Arabidopsis thaliana: one gene and its partner. The protein of the gene in region 2 interacts with the protein of the main gene of each other region in a pairwise test. Each region holds a gene or a part of one and is shown on either strand. Other genes may lie near its edges.

Evidence for each region. Proteins that work in one complex are often made in the same cells at the same time.
Region 1: the proteins of IBH1 (region 2) and BEE2 interact in binary tests that used the Arabidopsis thaliana proteins (3 or more experiments, as listed by UniProt).

Annotation. Positions count from the first base shown.
Region 1 is NC_003075.7:17,240,619-17,246,372, forward strand, and holds BEE2 (BR enhanced expression 2), read left to right. Parts: upstream 1-2,964; 5' UTR 2,965-3,080; coding exon 3,081-3,371; intron 3,372-3,456; coding exon 3,457-3,636; intron 3,637-3,728; coding exon 3,729-3,935; intron 3,936-4,019; coding exon 4,020-4,160; intron 4,161-4,251; coding exon 4,252-4,347; 3' UTR 4,348-4,678; downstream 4,679-5,754. Other genes in the region: AT4G36530 (alpha/beta-Hydrolases superfamily protein), read right to left, coding at 45-285, 364-534, 638-776, 864-971, 1,053-1,152; AT4G36550 (ARM repeat superfamily protein), read right to left, coding at 4,782-5,754. UniProt on the Arabidopsis thaliana protein: Positive regulator of brassinosteroid signaling.
Region 2 is NC_003071.7:17,905,920-17,911,329, forward strand, and holds IBH1 (ILI1 binding bHLH 1), read left to right. Parts: upstream 1-3,087; 5' UTR 3,088-3,327; coding exon 3,328-3,798; 3' UTR 3,799-4,291; downstream 4,292-5,410. Other genes in the region: SPPL3 (SIGNAL PEPTIDE PEPTIDASE-LIKE 3), read right to left, coding at 5,314-5,410.

The sequences.
Region 1 (5,754 bases), on a different chromosome or scaffold from region 2:
AACATACTTGAGATGAAGTCTGACAGAAGTTAATAAGACATTACACTCTTTAAGACAGATTCGATTCGAGAAGGTTGCTTGGCTTGCCAGAACAAGAACCCAAGAACCACACGTTGGAAAATCTCTTTTAGCGGCTTAACTATAAACTTGGTTATCACAGTTTCATCAGCTTCCTCTCGTTTTCTACTCTCGGCTGCAAATTGTCCCGCAGAGTTCAGAAGTGCAACTCCCGTGACTTGCTCGGGTAATCCAACCGCAACTGACAATGCCGTAAATCCCCCAAGGCTGTAAAGAAGTGGAAGAACTTGTTTCAGACTTCCTTGTGGAATGTCAAAAAGAGCTTCAAAGAAGACATTCATTTACCTGTTTCCAACGACAACAGCTGGTTCTTTCACTACCTCTTTCATGAAATCAATAACTTGATCTGTCCAAACCATGGCATCATACTCTATGAGAGCTTTGTCACTCCATCCGAAACCGAGTAAGTCCAAGGCGTAAACCTTGTATTTCTTAGCCAATTCAGGAATGTTATACCTATAAAAATCTACCGATATTAGCTCGAATTCGTATGATAAGGTAAAAAGTTGACTTAAAGCCTACACTGATCAATAGAGCATGGAGGTGAGATTGAAGGTACCTCCAATGAAAGACAGAAGCACCAAAACCATGAATAAGAACTAGAGGCGAGCCTTCTCCTTGAACAACATAATGAATCTTGTGACCTCTCCATTCCCAAAAGTTATAGCCTTCTGGTTTAAAAGCCAACCTCTCACTACCTAAAGAATCATCCAAATTCTTTTTAACAAAGATGACATTTTTAGACCAAGAGAGAAGCAATAGTTCCAAAGCTAGTTTTTTTTTACCTTGAACAGACTGAGAAGAAGCAGAAGAAGTATCCATGACTGAAACTCCAGAAGCAACAATCCCTCCCCTAATTGCAAAATCCCTTCTGCTGATTTCACATTTGTTTCCTTCATTGCAAAGATTAAACAGATTGTTCATAATTCAGGCTTAGGGGCACATCTAAATGAAAGGTTGGAGTTGAATCTTACTTGGTCGACAAATTCTAGCAGGAAAGATTGATCTTTTAGATGATGATGAACTGAATAACTCTGTCCTAACAGACGGTGTTAAAGCACATGAAGCAGACATCGATTATTCACAGAGAACAACCTCGTAAAATTTTCAAGGACAAGAGAACCAGATATTTCAGAACTGAGAGATGCAAAAAGGACAAACTTTTTGAGCACCGAGTGTATGTGTGAACTTGCGGGAGAGTTGTGGCGACCCCTGAGCCAGACAAGTCGAATCCGCTCGACGAAGCAGAGTGTTTCTGAAAGTTGCGGTTTTTATGGTTTAACGATTAGGCCGGTAATTTCGACTTAGCTAAACCGGCCGGTTCAGCCGTATTTGTCCCAAAGATCCTGATTTTTTACTCATCATTTTGACAAAAGCTGTCAAGTTGATATTATCAAACAGAACTATTGATTTGTACACAACAAGATATTGAAGCACTCTTTCTTAAATTTCATGTTCTCTAACTCTCTTCCTCAGATCTTGTCTCACTGTTGCATAGGTGTGACATTCTTTTGAAGTAAACAGAAATAATTGACGTGGAATGTGATTCCTGTTATCACATAGATCCATCATTAGTGAAAAGAGCAAACAACACAGTTTTGTAAGTAAGCAAATTAGAGACGTGATACACACGATCTAGGGCCTTATACTTTGATGTGACGAATACGAGTGTTCCTTCCGTTTTCGTGATTCGACAAAATGCCTAATTGCAACATGAATGCATTGACACAAACTTCTTTACAAAAGAATACATCCTGAAACCCATTGAATCAAAAACTTTCTAAAACTTTTTTGTGGAAATTGCAAAAAACAACAGATACTCTCAACGTTAAGTATTTTGGCATTTGAAGCATTTACTCTTCTCATCTCATAAGCAGCTTGTTATTGATGTTTCCCAAAGAACCAATGAAATGGAAACCTCAAAGCAACCTGTACGGTGTGTTATTGAAATCGGTCTAATTTTGGATATATTTTTTCAAGTTCTTCAAAAAAAAAAAATCGAAATAGTATTGATTCTCTTGAATTATGTCACGCATTATAGATAATGTATAGATATATAATTAATAGGGAAAAAAAGAAAGTATAGGGACCAAACACTTAGATCAAAAGCAATGGTGTCGCCTACCTTCCTATCACTTATCTTCAAACCCATTTTCTTCTTTAGGTCGCTTATTTTGTGTCCCTATCAGTTATGAATTATAATATGTGATATTATAATATGTCATATATTCATCGAGTTGCCATCTCTCTAATATATGAAATCCACTTAAATTATTGGTGTAATCTATGGATTGATGAAGGGTAGTAATCATACGTCACAAGGATCACGTATAGATTCACAACAAGACATTGAAATGATATCACTCATGATTCAAACCATTGTTTCTATTCATTTGCAAGTTAAGATTCATAATTCACATTCCCCACATTCTCCACCTTCAAGCCTAAGAAAGACCCTCTCTCTCTCTCTCTCTAACAAAACAAATTGGTACAATTAGAAGGTTGTCTTACCAAAAACTCAATGATTTGATTTTACAAAAGAGGATATTTATATGATAATACCCTCATGAACCTTAAGTTTTACAAAGTTTGATTATTGTTGCCAAACAAAAAGATCCTCTCAAAAACTTGAAAGGCCAAAAGGAAAAAAAAAAACACAGAGAAAAGACACAAAAGAGACTAACTTAAGAGACTCCTCATCTCATGTTCATAAGGACATGACCACATGGTAGGTTATGTCAATTAGACCCCACAACTTCTCATCTCACCTTCTTTGTCCCCAACCTCCTCCACTTTTATCAATTTTGTCCCTCTCTCACTAGATTTCGAATCTCATGTGTGTGGGTCAATGTTGCTTTCTATTTAAAGCTAAGAATAATTATATCTAATGGATTACTTTTCTTCCACACATATATAACTTAACTCTCTCTTTTTCTCTTTTGCTTTAACCCCCTCAAAGAAAAGATAAGAGCCTTTTAAAGTTTTTTTTTTACCTTCTCTTCATGGACTTGTCTGTACTTGATAGGCTTAAGTGGCTGCAACAGCAACAAATGGTTTCACCTGAGTTTCTTCAGATACTTGGCTCAGATGGGAGAGAAGAGCTCAAAAGAGTTGAGAGTTACTTGGGAAACAACAATGATGAGCTGCAGAGTTTCAGACATTTTCCCGAATTCGGACCGGATTATGATACTACTGATGGCTGCATTTCTAGGACAAGTAGCTTCCATATGGAGCCAGTGAAGAATAATGGACACAGCAGAGCCATTACCTTGCAGAACAAGAGAAAACCAGAGGTTTGTAGCTCAAGAAAGTATTGAGTATTAGAGTTTAGATTTTGTTTGAAACATTGTTTCTGATCGTTTTAACTATTGGTTTTAGGGTAAGACAGAAAAGAGAGAGAAGAAGAAGATCAAAGCAGAGGATGAAACAGAGCCAAGCATGAAAGGGAAATCAAACATGAGTAACACAGAGACATCTTCAGAAATTCAGAAACCAGATTACATTCATGTTAGGGCTAGACGAGGTGAAGCCACCGACAGACATAGCTTAGCAGAGAGGGTAATTAACTAAAGTGTTGTTGTTAAATAGGTTTCAGAGAAATTACTTTCATTAGAGATTTGAGTGGTTTTATATTTGTGGGATTTTGGCAGGCAAGAAGAGAAAAGATAAGCAAGAAGATGAAATGTCTACAAGATATTGTTCCTGGATGCAACAAAGTTACTGGAAAAGCTGGTATGCTTGATGAGATCATCAACTATGTCCAATCTCTGCAACAACAAGTCGAGTTCTTGTCGATGAAACTCTCTGTCATAAATCCAGAACTTGAGTGTCATATCGATGATTTATCCGCAAAACAGGTGAATAATAGTCAGTTTTCATCCCAAGAACTAACCAAGAGTTTAATTACCGCATTTATTGACTGGTTAAATATTGGAATCTAGTTTCAGGCTTACTTCACAGGTCCTCCAGAAGGTGACTCGAAGCAGTCAATCATGGCGGATTTTCGGTCTTTTCCATTACATCAGCAAGGATCTTTAGATTACTCAGTCATAAACTCAGACCACACCACATCTCTCGGCGCTGTAATAATCTTTATCTCAGACAAATCTTTCATTAGTCCCAATTTTTTGTTACTTGTCCGTGAAGTAACTTATTTCTTATTCTGTTTTGCAGAAAGATCATACATCATCAAGCTGGGAAACTCACTCACAGTGTCTTTACAACAGCTTGAGAACCGATTCTGTTTCCAATTTCTTCAGCCTCAAGTAAAAAAATTAGGGATAGCCTCATTAAAAAAATCGCGGTTTTTTGTTGTTGTCTTATCCATTTATCTATCTTATCTGAAATTTGAACCAAAAGAGACAGAGGAAACCAATCCAAAGATCTTTCTCAATCTATTATCTTCATACAAATATAGTGATTTACATATATTCCAGGGGATATGTATATGTGTAGAAGAAAGAGAAAAAACTCTTGTGGTCATAGCAATTCCTTTTTTTGTACATTGTAGAATCAAACTCTTGTGGTCGTAACAATTATTTCCTTCACAAATTACAACTACACTTGTATTAATGGAGATGCCTTTTGGCCTGGTATCAACATATACAAACCTAAGCCAACAAACAGAGAGCCAAAAAAAAAATCAAAAAAATTTCTCAAAAATTAAGTTAAATCCAGCCTAATAATGTATCTTATGCTTCTTTCTATTTTTTCTTCTTCTTGAGACTGGAGAAATTGAATCCAAAAAGACCAGATTTCTTGGGAGATGGTGTTATTTTAACAGGTTCCGGATGAGTAACTGGAGTAACAACCTGTGAAGTAGGCGAAGCAGTTGTTCTTCCTTCTGGTCTGGAGGAAACTTCTTCTTCTTCTTCTTTGTCGGAATCTACTTCTACAAGAGCTCTAAGTAATTCTGATGCACTCACCTTTACTTCCTCTGTTCCATTGTTGGATATCAAGATTAGAGATGAGTAAATATCAGTTGCTTCTCTCACGACAAGACAGCAATACTCTATCTTCTGCACACAGAGCTGAAGGAGGATGGAGATTGCGTTCTCTTGCTCCTCGGGAACATTTGACTCGAGTAATTCAGCTATGGAAGCTAAACAATCCGGGGTTTCGGTGATACAACCCCGACCTTTCTCGGTGCTGCAGAGGTTTTTCAGAATGATAATCGAGTGTTTGCAGAAAACTTTTTGTTGCAAGAAAGATGTGAGCTTCTGGATGAAATCGAGAGATACCATTTCCAGACAAATCTCCATGCTTGATGAAAGATTCTTGAGTGTGATCATAGCCTGTTCTTGGAGATGTTCTGCTTGGGACTCTACGATCTTCAAAAGGGAAGAAAGAGATCCTGATGAAGTTATCTTGGACGGACCGTGCGGATGGTTTGACAGAACCTCAAGTATGTTTAGAGCTTCTTCAGCTACTACCTCAGACTCAAGAAAGACTGAGAACATTTTGAAAACCTCTTCTTCCAAAGATTCTATAGCTCTCCTATTTCCACTAAGGAAAGCCAGCAACAAATCCAATCCACCCTTTATTATCTCTCCAGCGGTGCCATTTCTTTCGAGAGCATTCTTCAAATATGTGATAAGTGGCTCAAGAAATTTACTCGGTGACATAGACCGAAAAGCACGAGTACTGTGCTCAAAACGACTTCTTACATCTTCGACG
Region 2 (5,410 bases):
TTTCCGGAAAACTCTATTGAGCCTTGAAAATTTATCAAAAATATGTATGATGCGGATTAATTTGTATATCATTTTTCATAACCACAATTTCCAAAGAAATAAAAACGTACTTAAGACATTTACTGTGGCCAACTATGTTATGAATAATGAATTCAGAGTGAAAAGATCGATATGAATAATTGAAGAATAGTGATAAATAATTGAAAGCTTAACATATGAAAATAATTAAAAGAGATAGTTAATTAGGAAGTGGTCTTCGTTTTGAGTATTAAAATCTTGCCTCTCTAACAATAGGCAAGATTGGCCCACTTTTTCTATTTCACGGTTCTGTTTTTTAACTCAATATTTGCATGTACGTGTGTATGCGTATGTGTACATTAAATTTATCCCACGTGCAACCCTTTTGTCTCTGTCCGTTTATTTTATTCCTCAGTTTTATTAACCAACCAAATCGTTTTTGTGTTACGCGTAACTTACGGTCTATAATTATTTTAGACCGAGAGTCTGAATATGTTTAACTAATTAGATCTTTCCTACTGTCGATTTTAATATGACATGGTCTTCTCTTTTAAGAATTTAAATTACCGAAAATTGATCTTCAATCCGTTTTACATGGACTTCTCTATGATGATATTTGAACAATATGTCTGTACTACAACAAACATAGTTAAAGATATTTGTAACATCTATTTAGGCTATCGTAATTCGTAACTGGTTTTGTTATATAAGACATTTTCAATGAGTTTATTATATATGCTTTTGCATAAAGTTACAAACACTATATATGCTTGAGTCATGGTTTGCTTCGTGACTCGTCGTCGTCGATCGCATAAATTATCTTTGAGGTTTAAATAAAAAATGAAAGAAAATGAGCGCCGTCATGTTATCCACCGGAGAAAGTAAAACGGAGCCACGTCAACAGTTACGGAGCAAAGTCGCCGACAGTTGTAACGTCAAGCTTAATCAGCCGTCTTCATTTTGAACATAACGTAATAAAACAACCAAACACTCTTTTTTCCTCTTTAACAACAAAAGAGGCGTCAGTGCTTACGTGGCTTTTCACACGTTCTGATTTTCAACATTTTGTAAATCATTATTACTAAATGACCAATAGCATTTATTCTTTTGTTTTTGTTTTACATTTTTAGTTGGGATATTTTAATCAACTAGTATGATAAAGTTTATTCGCCCCCAACGACTTATTATTAAATTAAGAAGAGAATCAAAGAAAACGAATGGTGTAGTTAATATTAATTGAATAATTAGAACAAAAAAAAATTAAAGATAAAGATAAGAGAGAAAGGAAAGTGGAGGTGGGTAAAGGCCATAGCCATGTGCCTTCATGTGGTGGTTGGCCCATTAGTGGACCTACTCTACCACTTCTTCAACTCTTTTTTAGTTCTTATTATATGATTAACACCTTCTTATTCATTTGGTTTCACTCCTAATATCAACAATTTTGTAAATTGTTATTGACCCGAAATTGTTAATCTTTAAACGTATTTTTATGATAGATGTGAAATTTGAAACCTTAGAGAAAACAGTGAGATTTAAGGGATTTTGGAGCTGAATCTTGAAAAAAGATAAATATGATCATGATGATGTTATACAAAAGAATTAAATGGCGTGAAAAATACGTCCGGCGGCAAAGCGGTAGGGGAGAGAGTGATTAACACAAAAGAGATGGGACTAATGCTAAATTATAGCCTTAACCAAACACTTATCGTATTCCTCAAGTCTCTCTTCTCTTCTTTTATATTTTCATGTGTTGTCTTTTCTAAATTGGTTAGTAATATTTGGTGTATATAAATTGTAACGTCATCTATTGGTCAAGCCAATTGAATAATCTCATATTTTGTTGTTGCTCTCTTGCATGGTGAATACTTTGTTATATATCTGATCAATTTTAAACACGTTTTATCTTGATGATGCGAGTGGCTAATTGATTAAGTTTATTAACACTTTATATCGTCGAAATAATCATAGTTATTCTCAGGTTCAATGGTGTTACTTTCTAAACTAACGTATAGTTCAAACTCAGTTTCGAATAAACATCCTCAATCAGTCGTTTCACGAGAGTTGGATTTTGGCTGAATTTTGTTTGTGGAAGTAAATATCGAGCAAGTAATGAATCAATTAAATTGATATTTTGGGTTTTGTTATTTCTTTTGCCTTGAAAATGAGCTTATATGTTTTCCACAATCGATCATATTCCATCTTAATCGTCATTAGTTGTCAACTAATGTTAACATAAATACATACATATATGTATATAGCTTACCTAATTTTATCATAATAGTCTCTATTAGCTGTTCACGTTAATGAATTCATACGCATTCGTCACTAAATTAACCTTTTATAAAAACAAACAAATAAACATAATAGTGTGGTTGGAATCTAATTCCATAATCTGATGTCTGCTCTAAATTGCTCTTTTTTCCGTTAATACCAAGCTATGAACCAAACGAGCTTGATTAATTTGCGTCTAGTACTTAAACATCATCCGAATTATTATTTTGTTTTAGCTAAGATGTATACGAGCATTAATGCTATATATATTGTATTTGGGTGTAGTATACATTAATATTTCAAATTTCAAAATAGTCAAATATATATACCCAAAATAGCCAAGTTCTGTTAATCTATTGGCATCAACTTTTTTCTTCAAGCTCCAAAACATCGTTTTCCACTAATTGCCCATTTATTTATTCAAGACTTTATAACACTAGGTGTAAATTATACTTTTCCGAAATACATGGGTTATACAATTCACATTTCATTTTAAAATTCTAACACATAATGATATATTTACACATCTAAGTAGCCACCAGTAAGCAATCGATGTCAAACCACTAAACCATAACAGACGAATCTACAAAAAATTTGAACTAATATTAGTAAACCCCCAAAGTTAAACATAGAACTGTATTTATTTGCTGTTCACCATTGAAGAAAACTGCCACTTATAACTTCATATTCTCATATTTTTACGCAACGTAACTTTGACGGACCAATTAAGCTCCAAAATTCAATATTTCAAAGCTATTAACACATCTTTTTTTTTTTAGAACATGAGTTATAAATAGTTGAACCTATAGTTTAAATTTAAACTTTATAGAGAATTTGAATAGTTGTGTGTCTTGTGACATAAAAAAACATAAAGAAAAGTTAAGTACAAGGAAAAATAAACATTATTTATTCCTCTCTATCTCTCTCTCTCTCTCCACCTTTCCATTTATATTAACCCTAATATTGTGTCATTCTCAAAAAAAAAAAAGTTTTATAAAGGTTCTCAACTCAAGTTCTCTTCTCTAAAAAACCCAAACAATGGCCTCTGCAGACAAACTCATAAACACAGATGTCCCTGAAAAGGACGTTTTTGCCTTCCACTTCCTCCAATCCCTCTCAAATCTCAGAAAACAAAACCCTTTTGATACTCCGGACCAAAAAAACTACCGCGTGAGGAAGATCAAGAAGGCTGCGTACGTTTCCATGGCCAGAGCAGCCGGAGGGAGTAGCCGGCTATGGAGCAGAGCCCTCTTGCGTAGAGCAGACAAAGATGACAACAAGATCGTAAGATTTTCAAGGAGGAAGTGGAAGATATCATCAAAACGGAGGAGGAGTAACCAGAGAGCTCCGGTGGTGGAGGAGGCGGCGGAGAGGCTGAGGAATCTTGTTCCGGGAGGCGGAGGAATGGAGACGTCAAAGCTGATGGAAGAGACGGCTCATTACATCAAGTGCCTTAGTATGCAGGTCAAGGTCATGCAGTGTCTCGTTGATGGCTTATCTCCCAAATGATCATCAATTAATCATCAACATCATCATCAATGATCGATGTATATAGAGATACGACACATACATAGTCTATTGGATTGGGGTAATCATAACGAATATATATGTGTATATATATATATATATATATATATATATTCTTATATATATACATACGTGTAAGATAGGATACATATATGAAATGTGTGGATATGTATTAGTCTCGAAGTAACGAAAGATTTTTTTCTTTTTCTTTTCTTGAATTTTGATAAAAGGGGATTTATTATTTATCATATGCTATGGCCGGTTTAAACATTAGGGCTTGGTAACTTGCCCTTGTCATATGATAAAAGGGGATTTATTACTTATCATATGCTAAGAGAATTTTCTTTCTTCTTTTCTTTTAAGCTATGCAATTTACTTGGTTCCTCTTGATTGTGTTATTCGTCAATGATGTTTCTATGGATGGATTATATATATAAAGTTATAACATATTAGTTATAAGAAAATTATAGCGGAATTATAACTATCATAAAATATACATTCTGTATTTATATATCTCCTATACATATACGACTGTTTATGTTTTTGAGAAAATATATGATAAATCTAATAATTTTAAAAATATATATTTATAGAATTATGAATCATTTAATTAAATGATTTTTTTTTGTTTAACACGGAGTTACTTGAATAAGTCTTAAAAATACTTGACATTATATAGGTTAAAGAATTTTGTAGAATATATATAATTTAACTCCTTTTTTGTTTTGTATAACTCTTTTTTCAGGTAAGAGAGATTTTTTTTTTTGTATAACTCTAACATTTCATGATTTATGTCGGATTGAATTCAAATGGTCGCTCACAACAACATTATTAACAAAAATTACAAGACTCTGATTACTTGTTTTCTTTATAATCACATTTTCCGTTGGAAGGATTATCTACACGTCTTATTTATGCAGTTGGTCATACTTATATTTCATACGAGTGTCCTACTTTAATTTGTCAATTATTATACACGTGTACGTAAACAGACAAATTGGTCAATTCCACATATTTCACATCAAATATCTGATTCGTGCATTCGTTTTCGTCAGAATTTCATTCCATCAGTCGAATAATATTTGAACAAACTTTCAAGTTTTATGGAATTTTCAAAGACTTATTTTTCCCAAAAAAGAAAACACACAAAGATTAACAAAAGGGAATTTGCATTATACTTGAAATTCTACAAAAACGAGTCTGAATTCAAGAGAAGGTTAATATAGACTCTGTACAACATGTCATGAGTCTTACTAGAGAACCTTTCTTTCTTCTCCCCCAAAACAAGGAAAAAAAAACGATATAATACAGTACTTTCCGATGTGTCTTGAATTACTTTTGGTATCCGATTAACTTTGGCTTTGCAGAGAACTTACATCATCAGCTTTTGTGTACCTCTCACATATGAAATCTGCTTAAGCTATGCTCGATGTTTTGGGGAAAAGCTAATTCAGTTTGATTGATAACACATCATTAGAATATTGTTGAATCATGTTATTATGCCACAGGCATTGGATCCTCCGGTGTGTGAGACTCTGATTCTTCGATACCGTAATTCCATAGTTCTTTAAGCTCTCCTCTTACCAACCCCAGT